3 linked regions of the Mus musculus genome follow. The protein of the gene in region 3 interacts with the protein of the main gene of each other region in a pairwise test. Links are inferred from orthologs where the notes say so. Each region holds a gene or a part of one and is shown on either strand. Other genes may lie near its edges.

Evidence for each region.
Region 1: the proteins of Ccnh (region 3) and Znrd2 interact in binary tests that used the Homo sapiens proteins (3 or more experiments, as listed by UniProt). The two-hybrid records come from large-scale screens. The link is inferred for Mus musculus from reciprocal best matches to the Homo sapiens genes CCNH and ZNRD2.
Region 2: the proteins of Ccnh (region 3) and Sfn interact in binary tests that used the Homo sapiens proteins (3 or more experiments, as listed by UniProt). The two-hybrid records come from large-scale screens. The link is inferred for Mus musculus from reciprocal best matches to the Homo sapiens genes CCNH and SFN.

The regions. Positions count from the first base shown.
Region 1 is NC_000085.6:5,728,428-5,735,698, reverse strand, and holds Znrd2 (protein ZNRD2), read left to right. Parts: upstream 1-3,966; 5' UTR 3,967-4,004; coding exon 4,005-4,023; intron 4,024-4,103; coding exon 4,104-4,255; intron 4,256-4,373; coding exon 4,374-4,458; intron 4,459-4,986; coding exon 4,987-5,330; 3' UTR 5,331-5,393; downstream 5,394-7,271. Other genes in the region: Fam89b (leucine repeat adapter protein 25), read left to right, coding at 6,172-6,462, 6,831-7,109. UniProt on the Homo sapiens protein: Might play a role in mitosis. Antigenic molecule. Could be a centromere-associated protein. May induce anti-centromere antibodies.
Region 2 is NC_000070.6:133,597,884-133,604,927, forward strand, and holds Sfn (14-3-3 protein sigma), read right to left. Parts: upstream 4,286-7,044; 5' UTR 3,887-4,285; coding exon 3,140-3,886; 3' UTR 2,673-3,139; downstream 1-2,672. UniProt on the Homo sapiens protein: Adapter protein implicated in the regulation of a large spectrum of both general and specialized signaling pathways. Binds to a large number of partners, usually by recognition of a phosphoserine or phosphothreonine motif.
Region 3 is NC_000079.6:85,207,575-85,215,018, reverse strand, and holds the end of Ccnh (cyclin-H), read right to left. Parts: intron 6,242-7,444; coding exon 6,130-6,241; intron 3,166-6,129; coding exon 3,105-3,165; intron 2,280-3,104; coding exon 2,241-2,279; 3' UTR 1,288-2,240; downstream 1-1,287. UniProt on the Homo sapiens protein: Regulates CDK7, the catalytic subunit of the CDK-activating kinase (CAK) enzymatic complex. CAK activates the cyclin-associated kinases CDK1, CDK2, CDK4 and CDK6 by threonine phosphorylation.

The sequences.
Region 1 (7,271 bases), on a different chromosome or scaffold from region 3:
CTCAGCAACCTGGGCGAGTGCTCTGCAGCTGAGCCCCATCCTGACCCTCTCCACACATGAGGCACTGGAGTGTCTGCCACCACACTCCTCTCACACCTCACACTCGGGAAACGTCTGCTGGTGAGAACTCAGACCCAGAGCAGCATCACTTCCTTGGACAGTGACTTGGAGCTGACCCGATGACTCTTCTGTGGAAAACTGCTGTTGCTCACCTCCCTGCGTCTTAGAACAGCAGTCAATAAACTATCTAGAGATGAAGAACAGACCCAGAAACTGGTTACATCTATTGAATTTCTGGCAATTTTAGGAGCAGTTGGTAAGGAAGGATCCAAGGGGCTAGGGAAAAGAGCCCACTGATGTCCTTACTCACCACTCATATGACATGGTGACACGGGTGTTACCTTCTTTGCGCTCTCACAAAACCCATGAGTCTCCCCCCCCCCCGAAAAAGCATCTTACTACGTAGCCCAGGCTAGCCCAGAGCTTTAATCCAACTTCCTCTGGCTCATGAATTCCACATTTAACCCAAGCACCCCCACCCCAGACAATTCAACTGGAAGAGTCAGGTAGGAGAAGATGAAGGCATTTGTATTCGATTCCTCGCAGCTGAGGGACTCAAAAAGAGAGGAGTCAAAAAGGACTCAAAAACTCAGCACAGCCGTTCTACCCATGACCCAGAGCCCATGTCGGTCCGACAAGGGAGCCCTGATGATCTGGTTCAGCACTGAGCTCAGATCTCCTAGGTGCTCATTTGATTCCACCTGAGGCTGGCCAGAGACCATTGTGAGTGTGCAGTGCCATGTCCTGGAATGGTGTGTGTGAAGCCTGGAATTTTCCAAATTGCTCCAGCTCAATCTACACATTTCTCAGTTGATCATTACAAAGGATATGGCCGAGAGGAGTCCTTCCCTTGGCACAGTTAAACGCAGAGGTGAGGTTGCTTCACTGTTTTTGTAGGAGTGTCCTATGTGCAGATAGAGTGCATGTCAGAAGAGGGCATCAGATACCATTATAAAAGATTATGAGCAGCCATGTGGTAGCTGAAACCAAGGACCAGAAGTCCTTGAACTCAGGACCTCTGGAAGAGCAGCCAGTACTCTTAACCACGGAGTCACCTCTCCAGCCCGCAGAAATCTTTTTGAGTTGGTTTGAGGAAGTCATTTCAGCTCTCAGCAATACAGTACCATACAGCACTAGCAGGCTGTTGTTATCAGCTATTGTTGAGAGGATCTGGGGGTAAAAGGCCTGCCACTGTTAGTTGTAAAGGGCATGTTCAACGACACAGATTCATCTCAAGATCTACAGTGGTATCGTTAGCGCTGGCAAGCTGTACCGAAATAAAACCGCTCCACGGCAGTACTGCGAGTTAGTACCATAGTCTGCCAATGGGACCTGAGGCACTTACTGTGCCTTTAATATCTCTGGAGTGACAGGGGCAATGCAAGGTATCCTGTGGCTCCCTCCTCACAACTTCAACTTCTGGGAAATGTCACAAGCTGGACTGGTGGTGGCCCGGGCACCAGAGGCTTAGTATATTTTGTGTTTACAGTGTGATGACTGATAATGTTTTCTGTTTGCCACAGTGACAGATCAGGCAGACATGGAGACAATCCCAGAAGAGCCAATAACAGTGAATTAAGATCAGAAGCCCCCGCACAGCCTCCTTAGAGAATGAGCATCTACTTAACTGATACACAACTCCTGGGTAATGTAAAACACTGTTGTCTATAGCCGAAAGTTGTTGGAAGGGCTCTGCTACTGACATTCTCTGCTTCACACTGCGAAAGTGTATGACTCAGATACTATACTGTGCCATTTTTCTTTGTTCTCACAGATACCCACCTACCTCTGCCTCCTGAGTAATGGGATTAAAGACACGTGCCACTATGTCTAGCTATGTTTATTTTTATGTTTGTGTATGTTTTGCTGCATGCAAGCCTGTGCACTATGTGCATGTCTGACGCCCTTAGAGGTCAGAAGAGGGTGTGTGATCCCTGGAACTGCAGTTCTGCATCGTGTGAGGCATCATGTGGAATGTGGGCACCGAACCCATGTCCTCAAGAGCCATTAGTGCTGTTAAGAACTGAGCCATTGGGGGCTGGCGAGATGGCTCAGTGGCTAAAAGTGCCGTTTGCTCTTTCGAAGGTCCCGAGTTCAAATCCCAGCAACCACATGCTGGCTCACAACCATCCTTAACGAAATCTGATGCCCTCTTCTGGAGTATCTGAGGACAGCTACAGTGTACTTACATATAATAAATAAATAAATCTTAAAAAAAAAAAAAAGACGTGGGCTGGTGAGATGGCTCAGCGGGTAAGAGCACCTGACTGCTCTTCCAAAGGTCCGGAGTTCAAATCCCAGCAACCACATGTTGGCTCACAACCATCTGTAACAAGATCTGACGTCCTCTTCTGGAATGTCTGAAGACAAGTACAGTGTACTTACATATAATAAATAAATTTAAAAAAAAAAAAAAAGAGCGCAGACTGCTCTTCCTAAGGTCCTGAGTTCAAGTCCCAGCAACCACATGGTGGCTCACAACCACACGTAATGAGATCTGATTCCCTCTTCTGGAGTGTCTGAAGACAGCTACAGTGTACTTACATATAATAAATAAATAAATATTTTTAAAAAAGAACTGAGCCATCTTTCTACCCCCTTCTTCCTCCTCCTCCTCCTCTTATTTATTTTATGCATGTGAGTATATGGTAGCTATTTCCAGACACCCCAGAAAAGGGTGTCTTAGCCCTTTTACAGATGGTTGTGAGCCACCATGTGGTTGCTGGGAATTAAACTCAGGAGCTCTGGAAGAGCAGCCAGGGCTCTTAACCGATGAGCCATCTCTCCAGCCCTTGGTCTTTTAATTACTTGGTGCTCTTGCAAAGAACCCAGGATTATGAGGAGCACTGGTCCTTGATTTGTAACCCACTCGAGTATAAGCCATTTTCACCAGCAGGCCCTACAGTCCTCTGAGAGGAGAGAATGCCTCCGTAAGATCTGGTGGGCTCTCCTGTAGAGCACTTTCTAACCAGTGATCAGTGGGGGAGGGTCAAGCCCATTGTAGGTGGGGTCATCCTTGGGCTGCTGCTCTTGGGTTCTGTAACAAAGCAGGCTGAGCAAGCCATGAGGAGCAAGCCAGTAAGCAGCACTCCTCCATGGCCTCCAGCTTCCTGCCCTGCTTGAGTTCCTGCTTTTGATGAACATGTTATATGGAACCATGAGTGAAACAAACCTTTTCTTTTCTTTTCTTTTCTTTTTTTTTGGCTTTTCGAGACAGGGTTTCTCTGTGTAGCCCTGGCTGTCCTGGAACTCGCTCTGTAGACCAGGCTGGCCTCGAACTCAGAAATTCGCCTGCTTCTGCCTCCCAAGTGCTGGGATTAAAGGCATGAGCCACCATGCCCGGCGAAACAAACCTTTTCCTCCCCAAGTTATTTTTGGTCATGGTGTTAATCCCAGCTATACTAGTCCTAACTAAGACAGCAGGCTTACATCAGTTCTAGGCATTGGTAGAAGGTGGACAGAGGACACCCAACACGCAAACAGGGAGGAGTGTTGAAATAGGCAGAAAACGACCTCAGTGTAGCTAGCCTAGTTTGAAAGATTTAGAGAACTTTTTATTGCAGTGACTGTTGGGCAGATGTCATGGTCCTGCCCATCTCCTGCTTCCCCTGTGTGGAAAGACAACCCTGAGGGAATCGGGTATTTCACAGACCTAAGGGCCACTTTATCTGAGGCAAGTAGAAATGGAGACTCTGAAAAGCCACACCCGAGTACTGAAGCGTTACCAGGGAGACGGTGGTACCCAACCATAGCTCTGGCCACCAGCCGAGCCCGTAGGTCAGGGTCAAATGTGCAGCAGACACGCCCCCCCTTTGACTAAAGCGCCAGGAAGACCGTGTAAGCGTCACTTCCGCCCTCAGCTACCACATGTGGGAGGCGGGGCCGTAGTGGGGGCGCATCTTATTTGGATCACTTCCGGTGAGCCCAGCAGTGACCACGGCAACATGGCCTTGAACGGTGCAGGTATGCGCTTGGGATGTTTGGGCAGTGGCCGTGGGGTGCGGGAGGCAGCTCTCTCTATCTCCTGTGCCTGTTTTCTCTAGATGTCGACGATTTCACCTGGGAGCCTCCGACTGAAGCTGAGACGAAGGTGCTGCAGGCGCGACGGGAGCGGCAGGATCGCATCTCCCGTCTGATGGGGGACTACCTGCTCCGTGGTTACCGCATGCTGGGCGACACGTGCGCCGACTGCGGGGTGAGGCGAGTGATGAGGCCGAGGCCGCGGACCGGGCCGCACGACCTTTCCTCAGCTCCCTCTTCTGTGAACCCTGTCTCTCCGGCTCACCTATGTCCATGTACTTTCTGGTCCCCAGACGATCCTCCTGCAAGATAAACAGCGGAAAATCTACTGTGTGGCTTGTCAGGAGCTCGACTCAGACGTGGATAAAGATAACCCGGGTGAGGGTCCGAGTGTGCACTGTGGGGAGAAGAGAGTGGCGATAGCTACAGAGGAACTGTGAGCCTGGGAGGTGACAGTGGAAACTCCTGCGTGCTGTGGCATTAAGGTGCCTTCTCGTTTCCGCCCTAGAGAGGTGTTTCATTCAAGAAAGACCATCAGCCTTTTGTTTCTGACACCGTGGGGAGAGTCCTAGCAAAATAGTCATCCTACGTTGTAGAGTGCACGTGCAACCCTGGGTGCTTGTGCATGTTGGACAGGCATTTTACCACTGAAGGGCGGGCATCCCAGTTTACAGGAATAGACTTGATGCATAGATGAGGCCAGGCCATCTGTCAAGCAACTGGACCTCAAGTGTAAATCAGTGGGGCAGTGTTTGGCAAGCATGTGTAAGGAGAAAGAAGAGTAGAGATGAGATGGGATTGGCTTAGGCAGAAAACACCAGCAGCTCAGGGACATCAGTAAAGAGCACATGACTCGGGAGAGGCGGACGGGGCACCCTCACTCTTCCACCACTTTTCTTGTTCTAGCACTGAATGCACAGGCGGCGCTCTCTCAAGCTCGGGAACACCAGCTGGCCTCATCTACAGAGCCTGCCTCGAGCTCTCGGCCCCCATCCCAGCCACCAGTACCCCGTCCAGAGCACTGTGAAGGCGCAGCAGCCGGGCTCAAGGCAGCCCAGGCGCCTCCTCTTCCGGCTGCACCTCCAAATACGGACGCGGTGGCTTCCACACAGACGGCCCTCCTGCAGAAGCTAACCTGGGCGTCAGTCGAGCTGGGCTCTAGCACCTCCTTGGAGACTAGTATCCAGCTCTGTGGGCTTATCCGGGCTTGCGCCGAGGCCCTAGGCAGCCTGAAACAGCTGGATCACTGAGACCTCTATCCTGATCCCTGTTCCCCTGAGAAAAACCCTCCAGAAAAACAGTTTTTCCTCCGCGTGGTTTGTTCTTTCTTGGTTCTGAGTGTGCATGTGAGCCCCAGTTCTCCTCGATGGTTTTCCTTGCTTTTGGCATCTCACCTTTCCATGGTCTTTTCTACCTGAATGGTGAAGTTCTGCATTCAGGACAAGAAGTAAATGGCAGAGGGATAAGTGACACCTTATTCCAAGGACTGACCTCAGTCTTCCCAAAGGCTGGGCCACTAATCATTGTCTCTGACCCAGTACCCCCTTTCCTCCACTTGAGTGCCATTTGAAGTTTCAGTCCCTTTGGTGGCTTCCTTTCCTTCCTTTAACCATCCTGACTCTACCATCTTTCTCCATCTTCTGGCTGCTAGGATGTTGACAAATTGTGGGGAGGGGCAGTGATGCACTGTAAGAGTCAGGCACAGTCTTACCTTCCTACCCCAGACTCGGGCCTCCCACATCCCCGTGCTTTTAGAATCCTTCCCTTGGGAGAGGACACATTGTATAGGAATGAGGCAGCAAAAGGTCGCCAAAAAACCGTTTCTGACCCTTTCGGCCTCCCCTGTCCCATCCAGTTCTTTGATGGGTTTTTCGCTCCAGGGTCATCGCCGCGTTAAGAGAGGCCCCGCCCATGCAGGGGGGTGGAGCATAGGCGGAGTCCTAGGAGTCGGGGACGGAACAAAGCACGGCCTGCGGGCGGTGGCTGAGATCTCTCCGGAGACCGGGCCACGGAGAGCTGGTTCTCTGGGCAACAGCCCGCTGAAAACGTAAGAGGGGTCCAGGCGGCATCGTGGTCCACGCCTGCCTGGCTATGAACGGGCTGCCCGCGACTGAGGCGCCGGGCGGCGCGGGCTGCGCTCTGGCCGGGCTCCCGCCGCTACCGCGCGGCCTCAGCGGCCTTCTTAACGCTAGTGGGGGCTCGTGGAGGGAGCTGGAGCGTGTCTACAGCCAACGGAGCCGCATCCACGACGAACTGAGTCGTGCCGCCCGCGCCCCGGATGGTCCTCGCCATGCCGCTGGATCTGCTAACTCAGGTTCTGCAGCGGGCCCGCGCCGCCCGGTTAACCTCGACTCTGCACTAGCCGCGCTGCGCAAGGAGATGGTGAGTAGGTGGGCGCCTCGCCAGGGTAGTAGCTCTGAAGAGGGCAGAAATAAGTCTGGGATCCGCTTCCTCATCTCAGGTCCAGCAGGAAGCATCTGGTCACGGGGCTTTAGGACAGCACTGATAGTAATGTGTAGCAATTGTTGCATTTTTAAAAACTTGCCTGATTTCATCTTGCTGGACAATGTTACCCCATTGTATAAATGAGGGCCAAGGACTGGCTGGAAGGTTTCACAGTTGGCAAGTACCATCTGTTCTCAGAACTTTCACTTAAAGGTGCAGGAAGATTGGATAGGGTTGTCGTCCACGGTGGGAATTCTGGGGGTGGCCCGGACCCCCAACTCCAGCCCACTGTCAGTTGTCTGTAGGTGGGGCTGCGACAGCTGGATATGTCCCTGTTGTGCCAGCTGTGGGGCCTGTACGAGTCGATCCAGGACTACAAGCATCTGTGCCAAGACCTGAGCTTGTGCCAGGACCTGTCATCCTCTCTGCACTCGGACAGCTCCTACCCACCTGATGCCGGCCTGTCTGATGACGAGGAGCCTCCTGATGCCAGCCTGCCCCCAGACCCTCCACCCCTCACCGTACCCCAGACTCACAATGCCCGTGACCAGTGGTTGCAGGATGCTTTCCAAATCAGCCTTTGAAAGCTGAGGTGGATAGGAACGCACCCATACAAAAGGCTCAAAACTTGCCCTTCAGCAAGTCCTTAGTCTACAGTGCCTGCTCTTTTACCGGTACCACCTCACCTCACTTCAGGAGGGCAAGGCATTATACCCATCAGGCAAAGCGGTCAAGATTGCAGCCTG
Region 2 (7,044 bases), on a different chromosome or scaffold from region 3:
TGTTGCCCACAGATCCCAAAAGTTCCCCTAGAGCTGGAATTACAGTGAACCTGAGGGTATGATATGAGGCCACGACCCTGGAAGAGAGGCAAGTACTTAACTACTGAGCTAGCTGGCAGCCTGGTTGGAAAAAGGTCCTGGTGAGTTCACTACATAGACCAGGCTGGCTTTGAACACACAGAGATCAACCTTGACCTCCTGTATGTGAACCAAGCCCAGCTAGACTGAAAGATTTGTTTTGTTTTTTTGTTTTCAAAACAGGGATCGTCTGTTTGTTTGTTTTCGTTGTCCTGGATATCCTGGAAAGGCAGACACCACCACCTCCAGCTTGATTTTAAATATCAAATCTAGACCAAGAAAAAATGGCCATAATTTAAAACTTTTTAAAATTGATTTTGATGTGAATGGGTGGTTTATCTCCATCTGTGCCTGTGTACCACCTGGGTAATACACTGGTGTCCATGAAGGTCAGTAAAGGGCATCAGATCCCCCTGGACTGGAGTTGCAGACAGAAGTTGGCTACTGTGTGGGTGCTGGGAACCAAACTCAGCCAGTGCTTTAACTGCCAAGCCAGCTCTCCACCCCATAATTTTTTTTAACCACCTCGTAGACCAAAAGGTCTGAGACCACTTTGGTACAAACCTACAGCCTTAGCCAGCTGTGATCCGGTGCTAATACACAGCCGGCTTCATGACCTGCCGCTGAGGGCCTCTCCCCTTGATTACCCTTAAGGCCAGCACAGTACCTTAGGACAGCTCCCATCCTCTCATACATGGTCTGGAGCCAACACACAGCAGGCAGACGCTGGCTGAGAGACACAGAAGTTCCTTTCCCAGGACCTACCCCATTAAGAGAAAGTCACCAGACCAGTCTAGTGGAAAGAAACCGGGTCACCTCCTGAGCTGAGGGGAGTTGCCTGCCCTAGTCCAGACTCTTGTGTGACTTTGGAACCTTGAAACCCAACACATCACCAGGAAGTGAAAAAACAGGACCCTGAATGCTCCAAAGAGGCCCAGTAACTTCTCTGAAGAATTATGGGCGGTAACAAGAGCAGAGTACTATGGGTGTGGCCAAACGTGGACTCTGGAGAACCCAGTAAATTTGACCTGAGTTCCCTTAATCCTTCCAGAAAGTTCTCTTGCTGCCAAGCTAGGCAGCCTTCTTAGGTGAGCACCCAGGTCAACTTTGACAGTGACTGAGCCTGAGGCTTGCTTATTCGGATTTGGGTTCAGAAATACTAGATAAATCCCAGATGGATTGACACTGGTTGGAATTAGTAACATTTTGAAGGTTTCACTCCCAACTCCCACCCAGTCTTGTCCTTCGTTTACTTAATCACTTTGTTTTTTATTTTTAGGCACGGGGGACCTGTCCTTGGACATTAGATAAACTGAGCCACACCCTAGCTCCCGGGAAGGGTCCACCCTGCCTCAGAGTGCTCAGGTTAAAGGCATCCGCCACCCTTCCGGGCCTAGGAAGCAACTTATTCAAAGGAGGACCCAAAAGTTGAGAGCCTCAAGCAAGGAGGCTGAAACCTTGCACCTTAGTAGAACCCCGCTTTTTACTTTTTCTAACTGTGGAACCTTTAGCGATGCAGAAGAGAAACTGAGGTCCTGGGAGGTGCTATGATTTTTTCCGGACTACAAATCAAGTCAGGGATACAACCCAAGCCTGCTGGCGACCAGCGCAGGTCTGCCTCCGAAGCTCGGGAGACGAGCATTTTGGCCTTTTTCCAGCCGATTTCAGCCGGCAGCCTGGTCCAGACATGGCCAGGTGAGTGGATGACTCAAAGGGCGGAGACTAAGTTTTGCGCGCGGCCCCGCCCTGTCCCGCTGCTCCCGGGGGTGGGGGACGAGCTCCCGAGTCGGGCGGGTGGCAACTTGTCTGAGTGAAACCGGGAAGGCGCCGCCCCGCTGCGCTCCCCGAGCCGCAACTTCTTCGTCTTTTCCAGAAGGGTAGCGCGGCCGACGGGGCGGGAGGACTCACCCTTCGCTCTCCCATTGGTCAACCGTGTCCCGGGGACGGGCTCTGTAGAGAGTCCGTCCAGTGATTGGGCCGTGGAGACGGCGGCGGGCTGCCCCGGGCTGGTGCGTGTCGCTGCCTGCCGGGCGCGCAGGCCGTGGGCTGCTCAGCCCAGCTCCCTGCGGCTCTTCCCACCCAGCTCGCGCCCGCTCCTCTTCAGCCGATTTCTTTTTGTCCCTGGGCCTTGGGGAGCTTTCCCTTATTTGATCTGTTTTATTGGAGGCACTATGCCCCTGCCTCAGATTGCACCCCTCGGCTCAGATCTGAGCACTTGACGTGACCGTTTCCCGCTTCTTAAAGTGAGGTCCCCAGTGCCACTTGTGAAGCGTGTCTCTTAAGGCCACTGTGCCCAAACTTCCCTGACTTCGCGGCTTTCCCGCCTACAGCCCCCACTCTCCTCTGCTCTCCTGACCTGCCTCTGTGCTCACCTGGCCTGAGCCGAAGCGCTGCGGGGACTTCCTGGTGGCCTCTCACCTGAAGTCACCCTACCCAAAATTTCCAGGTCACCGACACCGACCCAAAGGCTCGTCTCACTTCCAGGTCACCCAGACAGCCCCAAGGGACAGACCTAGCTCAGAGTTTCAGAGTCCGGTTCTCTTAACTCATTTCTAATTCTACTCTCAACCCATGGCCAATAACTGAAGAAGACCGAGTGTCACAGGGCAACTTTATTGAGTGGTAGCATGGTCACACCCAGCAAACGTGTTCCCTCTCATTCACTCTCTCTCTCTCTCTCACACACACACACACAGAGTTTCCCTCTCTCTCACACACACAGCCCTTGCCACAGTCCAGTTCTCAGCCACAGGGTGGGGAGCCTCCTGGATTATTCGGATCCAGAAGCAACAGGTGCCCGAGGGAGGCTCAGGGGGAGGAAGTGGGGAGGGGGTGCAGAGAGCAGGGGTGGGATGGGTTGGGAACACCCACCAGACAGCTACACGAAGAGTGAGATTCCCTGCCCTGGTGGCTTCAGCTTGGCTGCGCCCCCTTCAAAGGAGCCTTCCAAGGTGTGGCTGAACATTCAGGGTTTGGGAAGGGCAGAGTCCCACTCCGTTTTAGTCCTCTCTGCAGGCTGGGGACTGGAGGGCAAGGCGAGCCGGGGTGGTTGTCGGCTGCTTCAGCTCTGGGGCTCCTCCGGAGCCTCACCACCCTCTTCCCCAGCACTGTCGGCTGTCCACAGCGTCAGGTTGTCTCTCAGGAGCTGCATGATGAGGGTGCTGTCCTTGTAGGAGTCCTCACTGAGGGTGTGCAGGTCGGCCATGGCCTCGTCGAAGGTGGTCTTGGCCAGCGAGATGGCCTCCTCGGGGCTGTTGGCTATCTCGTAGTGGAAGACTGAAAAGTTCAGGGCCAGGCCCAGGCGGATGGGGTTGGTAGGCGGCATCTCCTTCTTGCTGATGTCCATGGCCTCCTGGTAGGCTGACCGGGCAGAATCGATGATGCGCTTCTTGTCATCGCCAGTGGCCACCTCGGCTAGGTAGCGGTAGTAGTCACCCTTCATCTTCAGGTAGAAGACGCGGCTCTCTGCATCTCCAGCCCCTTTGATGAGGTGCGAGTCCAGCAGGCCGAGTACGGTGTCGCACACACCTCTGAGCTCGGTCTCTACCTTCTCCCGGTACTCTTTCACCTCGGGGCCCTTCTCTTCTGACCCCTCCTCGTTGCTCTTCTGCTCGATGCTGGACAGGACCCTCCAGGCCGCTCTCTGGCCGCCCACCACGTTCTTGTAAGCTACGGAAAGCAGGTTTCGCTCCTCGCAGGAGAGCTCCTCGCCCTTTTCCACGGCGCTCTTCATGAAAGCTGCCATGTCTTCATACCGTTCGGCCTGTTCAGCCAACTTGGCCTTCTGGATCAGACTGGCTCTCTCCATGACTGCGAGGATGGACAGACAGACGGGCGAACTGGCTGTCTCGAGAGTAACGCTGGGTTCTGCGGCTCCCTTGCTCTGGCTCTGCCTTTTGGCTGGGGTGGCATGGCCCTGAGAAGAGTTGGGCGTGGTCTGAGCGGGCCTGGGCCCTGCCTCCTCCTAGTCTTCGCCACACCCTTTCCGGCTCTACCTTTAAGGTAAAAGGGCTGGGACGGGAGGGGGCTGTGAGTCACCAGGACAGTCAGCAGGAGAAACCTGGCCGCAGGTCCCACCTGCAAAGGCACCTTTCGGCTCCAGACTGCCCCCTGCAGTTCAGGGCTGGCTGCATTGCAGGAGCGTCTTGGATTACCAAATCAGATTGTCTTTCAGGGTGATCTTCCAGGCTTCAGCCACCGAGCTGCTTTAGCCCAGGCAGAGCCCAGGGAGCTGGGACAGTTCAGGTGAGAACTCATGTATAGGTAGGGCTGTACAGTTTCCCCCAAACTTGCGCATCCATGATCTGATGCAACTACCCCCAACCCCCGAATTGGCTCTGTAGGACTGTAGAGGTAGAACTATCAAGTCTCAGGGGTGAACCAAACCAGTTTGAGGTCACAAGCTGCCAGCTCCCTTAAACCCCTCCCCCTCCGTGTCCCCTCTTCCTCTTGGCTCTCTTTGGGGGCCATTAGCTGAGCCGGCCTGAAGATAGCTCCATCCCTTGGTCCTTGTTCTCCCTCAAGATGCCCTATGAACACCCCAGATGCGCAGGTGGCATCTCAGGGTGCCACTTAATGAAGTGTTTAACGAGCGGCCTCTGACGCTCCAGCCCAGCCTTTGTAATTAGTCACCCAATATGTTTGTTGGACACCTTCCCCCTTACAGCACAATTTTCCCTTTCAAGTTGGTGGCCTGTTGACACTTGTCTGAGACTTTACTCTCTGGTTCTCCACATCGGGTCACCCGTCCCTTCCAAGCTGCCTGTCGTCATGTATCGGCAGGGTTCCCAGAGGGTGGGGGCCTAACTCTTTGACTGTCCCACTCCCCTGCCTGACTCAGATTACCTCTGTCAGAGGCTGGGAAGCAGGCCACCTGGGTGCTCAGTCCAGTTTGGTCCCCCAGGGGGGACGCTATCAACCTGGGGAGGAAGACAGGGCTGAGGGAAAGGAGCTGGGAATGGCACATTCCATTTTGTTTTATGGCGCAGTGTGTGATTCCAGCCCAGTATGATCCCTCACTTGGCTCCCAGAGGTTCTCAAGTCCCTTCAAGACTCTGCCTCTGACCCCTGAGAGAAGTCTCCTTGGAGATGGAGATCACTTTGTTCCCAATCTTCCATCCCTGATTGGTTGGGCCCTATTTTCAAGGCCCATGATAAGAATGGGCACTGAGGGTGTGTTCCTGCTTATGTGCCCCACCACATTCTTCAAGTTTAGATGGGACTCCGTGGTTCCTTCTAAAGAAGTTTCTTCCTAGGACCCAGCCAGTCTAACCCTTGAAGCAGGACTATTGCACAACCTTGCCTGTCTCCTCACAGTGTCTGAGCACTCGCCTTGCCTCCGGGAGAGGTGTTGTAGGCCAGAACCCTGAACAGGCTGGAATGTGCTTGGGCCACGGAGTAGGGGCTCTTGAGAGACTTCAGGGTCCTGGCTAATTTTACAGGTTCTCCCAGGAAGCAGATGGGATTTCTGTCCTGAGATCTTGCGTGCTTTGCCTAACTCATGGCACAGGCACAGAACTACAGTAAAACATCAAGTTAGGGAAGACCACGGTAGTGTACGGCTAGAGTCTGAGCATTTAAACTCACACAGGGGACATGCCAGTTGGTGACTGGCTTTGCCACAAGGGAAACATGTTACCCCCACCCTGGGGAAAAGCAGAGGCTGGGAGTGTGTCTTGGTTGGTAGAGTCCCTGCTAGTGTGTATGGAGTTTGCTCCCCAGTCCTGTATAGACAGGTGCACATCTGTAATCCTAACACTTAACAGGCAGAAGCAAGTATCTCTCTGAGTTCTAGCCCAGTCTGGTCTATATATGGACTGCCACCATGTTTGCTTTAGCAGCGGTGCCGGGGTTATACCCAGGGTTTCCAAGAACTCTACCGACTGAATATATCCTCAGCAACCCCCTCCCTGTTTTGGGGTTTGAGCTGGGTTCTATGGGATGAGGAAAGATCCTAAACTCTCCGCACCCCGTGGCCCAGCCGGGTGTCCACAGAAGAGTCGGGGTCCTCAGTCCAAACTCTTTCCTCTCCAGACTGACAAACTGTTTGGCACAGTAAGCATTGTCTCCTCCCTTTCCGTTGGGAGAATTCTCCTCAGCCTTGAAGGGCCTTCCTTGGCTCTCAGCCTGGCCTGGGCTTCCCCAAGTCCTGGGGGCAACTTGGAAACCCCAGGACACTAGGAGTCTGGACGGTGGGGCTTGGCAAACTTGAAACTTCTTCTAAGCCTACGAAGGGCGTGTTCTCCTCGTGCCTCTTAAGCCAGGAAGCTGGTGGGGGTTTACAGCTGCAGCTCAGTTCTAGACCCTCTTCCTCCTCCACCGAAGCCAGGCCTTGACACCCCTGCCAGCTCCGGCCTGCATATCCTGACTCAGTTCCTGCTTCAGTTGCCTCCCTTTGCCTCCAGGCTTCTACTTCCCAAGTCCAGAAGCCCAGGCAGGCAGGAGGCAGCAGGCCCTGGCAAAGCATGGGACTCCAAAGCAGCTGCCTGAGTCAGCAGGACAGGAGACAAGGTCCAGTGTGTGTGTGTGTCTGTGTGTCTCTGTTGTGTGTCTGTGCGGTGTTCTTCATCCTTTCTGGAGCATCCGATCTCAGCAAGAGGGATTCTTATTAAGAGTTAGAAAGAGGCCGGGTGTGGTGGTGCACGCCTTTAATCCCAGCACTCGGGAGGCAGAGGCAGGCGGATTTCTGAGTTCGAGGCCAGCCTGGTCTACAGAGTGAGTTCCAGGACAGCCAGGGCGACACAGAGAAACCCTGTCTTGAAAAACAAAAAACAAACAAAAAAAAAAAAAAAAAAAAAGAGTTAGAAAGAATAGACCACAACTGGCAAAACCTTTTCTTTTCTAGTAACTTCCTAGGTCATTTCTGCCTTTGGGAGGATCAAATTCAACAGTCTGACCAGAGGGGTTTGTGGTTGGTTGTGAGCTGAGTCCTGTTACGAGGCTCAGAGCTGTGCATCCATTGCCTTT
Region 3 (7,444 bases):
AGTTCAAGCTTTAATATCAGAGCAAAATCAGGGTTATTTTTATTGTTTCTTTCACAAAGGAGTCCATTTATTTACTCAATATACAACTTGTTAATTGAAGACCGGATTTAAAAACAGTATGTAGCAGAGGATTCTTAGTGATCAAAATAGGTTTGTTGTTTTCTTTTTTTAAAGAACCACCAAGGGAGGTACTAAGGAAGGTATTAATAAAGTTTTCTCAATAAAAATATTTTTCTGAAGGCCTAGATCCATAAAGCATTCGATTGTATTTCTCAAGAGATATTGTATACAAGGAAAAATGTTAAGTAATCAAGGTCTATTTCCCTTTGCTGAGGATCAAACTGAGAGGCCTAAATTGTATTCTTTAGAATATTATTGAGAGATTTCCCTAGCTTACATATAGGGCTGAATGCTACCATAAAGGTAAATTTACTCTCCTCACATAGTTTCAATCAAGTTAACGGTGGTAACAAAACAACAACAACAAAACCTGCTTCTTGGCTTTGTTGTCAATGCAGTTCCCATTGTTGATGTTGACAGTAACTCATCTCTGTCCTTAGTTTATAACGTGGAAAGGCTACAGACAAATTAATGTAAATATGGACTTTGGCAAACAGGGAGAGATCCGGACTCTAAGGCATTTTAGTTTGTCCTCACTGACTGTGAGTGTTCGGCCATGACAGCCTATTTGCCAATTTTTTTTTTTTAAGCCTGAAATGCTTCTCCCTTTTCTACCATTTATTTTAAAAGAAATCTGACTTATCCTCATTTTTGTATTATAGTGACATGCTCTGTCTTTTAAATTGGAGTGGGAAACGTGTTATTTACCTTCTTAGGCCCTGTAGTAACTAGGTGGTCAGTGATGAAATAAAATCTTTCAAACCTATTTTTAATGGGGATGGATAGGAAATTTTCAGAGAAAGATGTGGCCCTTGCTTTAATGCCAAATTTTTAATGATATGAAAGAAAAGCAGACACACTGCGAGCACTTGCAGTTCTGTCTATAGTCTAGCATGTTGTTCTACTTGAACTATACTTGGGCAGAGGAGTGTTCATTTTTACTCTACTTTTATAAAACCCTACAAATAAACTCAAGCCATAAAAATATTAGAGATGAAAATGCACATAGAGTAAACACCATTTACAAAAAAACATAGCTAAAATGCTACCTACCCTCCTGGGAAGTGTATCATGGAATATGTAAGCTAGGTAGATTTAGATTCAAAGTTGATTTTCTCAGAATTTCTTCAAGCCGGTGTTGCAGAAAAAGAAACATCAAAACAAAACACTGGTCTAATATATGCATATCTATCTTTATTTTGGTCTTAACTGTAACACATATTATTAATATACAGCAAATACATACTAGTATGTCAAGCACTGCTGTGACTAATCCCATCAGGAGCAGGCATTATTTTCCCCAATCTGTATTTGGGAAAATAGCACATTGAGGTATATAATTAACTAAAGTCATAGAAAAGTAGAGGCATATGTTTTGGGTTTTTATATTAAGTTATTTAACTTTAAATTTTTGCATATAATTTTTCTACAGATTTCTAGTCACTATAATGCCAACTTTATAAGGATTTACTGAGAGGTAATCATTTAATGATAAAATTGACTATATCATTTACTATGACTTATCTGTAGAAATTTAAGATTTTTTTTTATCTATACTCAAAAATTCTATTTTTATTTAAACCTAGAAGATATCTGTAACTGCATGTAATAAAATTTAGCACCTAAGTACTACGTAAGTGCCCAGTACATTCTCCAGCTTAGTAATGAATCATCAATAGTTCAGTCTACTGGAGAGACATCTGAGAAGCATTTGTAAGGGCTTCTGGAGGATAAAACCTATTTTCTTAACTTTTCAGATGTTTACCTATTGTTCAGGTTTTTTTTTTTTCTAGTATAATGCTTCTAAATGGAAAGGTTTGTTTATTATAGTTTGTCTAAAACAATACAAGGAAGTGTAGCACAGTCTGACTTTGTCTACCACAGGAGGACATGGTTTGCAACTAATCCTAGTGGATTATGAATATTCAAACTAGGTGGCATTCACCCCTTTTGAAGCTATATGTTATATAAAACAATCACAAAGAAAATATATAGAACAACTAGAAAAGTTTAATATATTTTGATGTTTTCACATTGTACTATTTTTTTAAAAAGTAAAATGTCAGACATGCTTCCTACTTCCGTTGGTTAATAAGTACTGCTGCGGTCATTTATTATGGTTAGAGAGAATCTACCAGGTCGTCATCAGTCCATTCCTCCTAAAGGGAAAAGAATGTGGTAAGGGTAACATTGAAGTATTGAGCCATTTGTTGTTTACCTCCCTCCCTTTAAGAAATTGTGGATTGACAACAGTCTACTGTAGATGGGTTTTTTTTTTTTTTTTTGAGATAGTCTCCTATTATGCCTTCAGCCAGCTTTGGATCCTCTATACCTCAAGTGCTAACTACAGGTATGTGCTAAGTCCTGCACTTGACTGTGATAACGACATGGCAGCTGCCCACTCTGTGAGGAGTGAAAAGTTATCCTTTGCCTGTGCTTATTTATCCTTGACTTCTTAAGAGAGAGATTTTAAAACTGGGGTAAGGCAAGGAAAGAATCCTGAGAGAATAGATAAAATTTAGCATCACTGCCTTCTATCGTAGGAAGTTACTTCAGTCAGGTAGCTTACTTTAGAAGTGGTTCAGAGTCATGTGAAAACAGCCCATGCATAGGCTTCCTGATTAGCACCACATAACGAGCAGCTGCCAACGTGCTCCTGCCATGGACTCCATTCCCCCTGAACATAACCCAACATAAATCTTCCCTTTAACGATTTCTTTAAAACTTTTACTGTACATAAACAGGTGAGTAAAAATTTAATAATTTCAAACTTTAGAGGTACTTGTAGTCCTAGTATTCGGTGGGCTCAGGTCAAAAAAGAACTGGGAGTTTAAGACCAACTTGGGCTACAAAGCAAGACACTGTTTTAAACGTTCTCAGCCCCACCTCTCTATAATGCTTATAGTAGTTCAGAACATACACACTAGCTTAGGTCATGCCAGAAAGTGTAAGTTATAGCGAGTTCTCTTCAGGGGAAAACATACCTCTTCCTGTTTGGGTTTCTTTGACACATAGTCATCATCTTCATAGCCTTTCCTCTTCTTCCTATAATTAAGCAAGTATCGATTAGCAAAACTGTTAGTGGCAACAAAACCTATAAAATAAGCTAGCACGGCCATGTGAACATGTGGTAGCCCTCAGCTACAATGACAGTACTCGGACTAAGGCACCAGTATTGCCTTCAGTTCAGTCTAGCATGGGTTAAAAAAATGAGGCCCTATCTTCAAAAACAAAATACATTATGTACTGAAGAGTAGGGACTAGATAGCTGGAAAGGTATTATCTGTGGATACAAAGGCAATATTTAATATTTAATCCAGTGTAGCAAGAACCTACAAAGATGAAAACAACGAAAACGTTGAACATACCCATAAGTCCCAGTTCTTGTGACTCTAAGGAGATTATTGGATAATCATTGGTTACACTGTGATACCTGGCCTCAAGTAAACATAGCAAAGAGAATCTAGAGGGAAAAAATGTTGGAAGACCTTGTCTTGGTTATCATAAAAGCATACTAAAGTGGAGTGCAGTGGTGGCACACACCTGCAGTGCCAACACTCAGGTAGGATAGAATAATTGAGAATCTGAGGCGTCCTAAACCAGACCCTGTTTAGGAACAAATAAAAGGACACACTATAAAAGCTATGGTTATTAAGAATATGGTGTTGTTAATACATCGGCAGTCAAAGCAGGACAGGCAAAACTGGCTCTGCATATCTGGTGACAGACTCAGTGGGGTTAGACACCAAGATGGACAGCCTGGTTTGTTCCCCATGGCTGTATGGAAAGAGGAAAACTGACTCTTTTATGTTGTCCTCTGCTCTCCACACAGGTACTTGCTTATTAAGTACATAACTGAAATACAATAAATGATTTAAAAACTGGATATACCTTTTAATTTTATTTGTGATTAAAAATTGTCAACTAAGAAAACCATGAAATAATACTCAAAAACAAACTAGAAAAACTACAAATATTGGTTAAAAAACAAACAAGCCCCCCAAAGCCTTTACCCTTCCTAAGCATTTCTTTGGCAAAGTAGTGTAAGAAAAAACATAAATAGGATAAACATCTTTTTTAAAAAAGATGTTAATATATAATGTATTACAAGAATAAAATGCCAGAAGCAATGCAGAAAACTTACAAATGGCTATTAAATCTGGAAACATCAATAGTTACAGTAACCAGGGAAATGCAAATGGTCAAGGTGACTCTTATCTTTTTCACCCGGACTGGCAAAAGTTAAAGACTGGCAATGTTAAATGCATGATGTGGACACATTACTACAAACAAGTATTTCATGCATTTCTACAAAGAAAAGGTTGGCAGATGGTAGACCCATCTGGTAAGTGACTTCTGAGATCAAAATCTGTTTGATTAAAGGAAACATTGGTGTTTACTCAGTGGGTGACTTAGAAGAATACAGTAACTGTACAATGAAAAATAAAGGCAGAAATGTTAATGATCAAGGAAAAATAAATGCTTTGTGCTGAAGTACTACTACTTAGTGTTGTTCATGAACTGTTTCCAGCCTGCAGTGAGAGGAGCAGAACAGACACTATGTAGAAACTATACAGCAAATTGACAGTAACTTCTAACTGGTGAATCTAACAGAATTTAAACATATTTTTATGTATATTTCACTTTGGAGAAACTGATTGTATTTTATAATTTTTAAAGTCCTTCTTTTACAAAGAAATATTCAGACACTTACAAGAATGTAGAAATCTTTTTTGGCAGGGTTGGCAAAGCAAATGGCAACTTGGAATAAAATGTAAACTCTATCGATTAGAAATTTCTGGATTATGGCCCATTCCTTTACTAGCTAGAACAGAATTAATAGTCAAATGATCCAACTCTGAGGACAAATTAGTAAATACTTTATAGGCCATGCAGTTTCTGCCATAAGCACTTAACTTTTCTGCCACAGAATGAAAACAGCCACAATAATTATGTAAACCAATAATGGGCATTCTATCTTCCAATAACTGTTCTTTTCAAACTTAATGTAAGAACACAGTCAAGTGCTACAGTCCTTCTACTTACCAATGTGTCAACTTTAATTCTCTACAACCTTCTGATATTTACTAGTTACTACTGAAACCTACCAATTCAAGATTTACATGAAGACATGTTTTGAAGCTATATCTGTAAGACAACCGTCCTATAATTTGCACTCTGCAAGCCCTGGGAATCCTCTACTAAAACTACATTTAAGAAATTAAGCCATGACTATCTTGTGCTGAAGACTTTGGCATACTCTTCAGCTTTTTACACATATTTGTTAGCATTTCTCTAATAAAATAAATAAATAAATAAACATCTATAGCTATCACAGCTAATTCCCATTACATGTTAATAAGTAACAAGATTAGAGTCAATACATATAAAACAAAATCTTTTACTTGTATTATCACATGCTCAAAAATTAAGTTACAATGGATCTTTTATGTAGAGAATATGTATTTTATAGTAAATTCTACATTAGCCTACAAAGCAAGAGACATTAAATATGCTCTTATACTTACACAACCTAACAGAATATTTTACTCGTTCTCTGACACAATGCTTCCTTCCTTACTAGTTTATAAAAATTAAGTCTAAAACAGTACATTTGTTCACCAGAAAATATCAGGTTGGCTAAGAGACAAAGGTTTAACAATTTCATAGGAAGACTGGCTCCCAGTGATCCCATAACGTGGGAAAGCGAGCCAAGCTACACACTAACGATCAGGATCAACCTGTAGGGTGAAAGCCCAACATTCCTTCCTTATGTTTACTTCCACTAGAAATGTGCACATAGGCCAAGCTGGGGATGTGGACAAATAGAGAGCACTTGCCTATGGACAAGGCCCTGAGCTTGCCTCCCAACACAGACAAAATCAGTATACTCAACTTTTTATAAAGTTTGATTTAGGTGCTAAGACTAACAAACTTGTAACAGTGAAATAATTTAACAATTGAACTCAATGACTTTGTGAACATAACTTCTTTATCATGCCTACTTACGTAACCGCATTAAGTGCAAGGTCAGAAGAATGACACCGCTCCAGCTTCTGTTTCAGGACAGCAACCTCGTCAGACCTGGGCGGCTCGTACTTTTTTACTAGATTTCTCATGCCTACATGGGGATACAAACTCTTTTTTAATAAAAACTCAGCTAAATGTGGTGCCACATGCCTCCATCTCTACACTCTGGAGGCAGAAGCAGGTGGAACTGAGTTTGATGCCATCCTGGTCTAGAGTAAGTTCTAAGAAAGCCAGATCTACCCAGGAAAATCCTGTTTTAAAAAAAAAACCAAAACAAAACATCTGCTTTTGTATAAAAAAGCATAATAATCTAACTTGCTTCAGGAAACTGAAGACATTGGTGATAACATATTCTTACCAGGACTTGTATTCTGTATTAAAATCAAGCAGCAGCAGCTCTTAAAGTTCAAATAATATCTGCTATATGCCACACTATATATAGCATTAACATTAGCATGCTGTATATAATACTGGTAGTAATGTTTTCCAAGTGCCTCCATGTTTACATTTTGCTCAACTTAAAGCTTTTGAAATAATCCCTATGTGATTTAGTAAATATTCTTTATTCTCTACCACCAGCCATACACATGAACAATCTATCCCAAAATATACCCTCTTATTTACTAAGAATATAACATATAAAAAAAAACAAGGATGTTTCCTTAGCAAATCAAATGTTAAAAACAAACTATAGATCAGCAAAGATAAGACTATATACAATACTTTCTATCTTATCTTGTTATGTTTAACATAATAAACCAAAAATCTCAAGATTAGAAACATGATAGTCCAGGGACTTATTATATGGCCATGTGCTTTCAGACTGAAATTGGTATTTGTGATTAAACATCTTTAGATCACTATGTGTTTTTATAAAAAAAAATATGAATACCTTCATATTACTAAAGCTGAGTATTTTTGAAGCATTCTCCTTGTTTCATATTTATTAAAATAAGTGGAACAAAATAAAGACAATATAAGAAATCAATAATTAAACCACACACTTCAATAAGCAGTGTGTTTTCTTTATAGTCCCCTCTACTACCAAATTGTTAGAAAGTACTATTATAAAAAAAAAAACCAAAAAAAAAAAAAGTACTATTATCAAATCACAATCGGCTTTGGAAGTGAACCCTCTAGTGGTAAATATGAAGACCTACAGTTTATAGGGAAAAAAGACCAACCCTCTATTATGCTCAGAGGAAATCCAAAATTACTTAAAGCAAAGAATCACTTCAAGGCATGTAACTGCATGACTTGAATCTCATTTAAAACAAACATTAAAATATACACA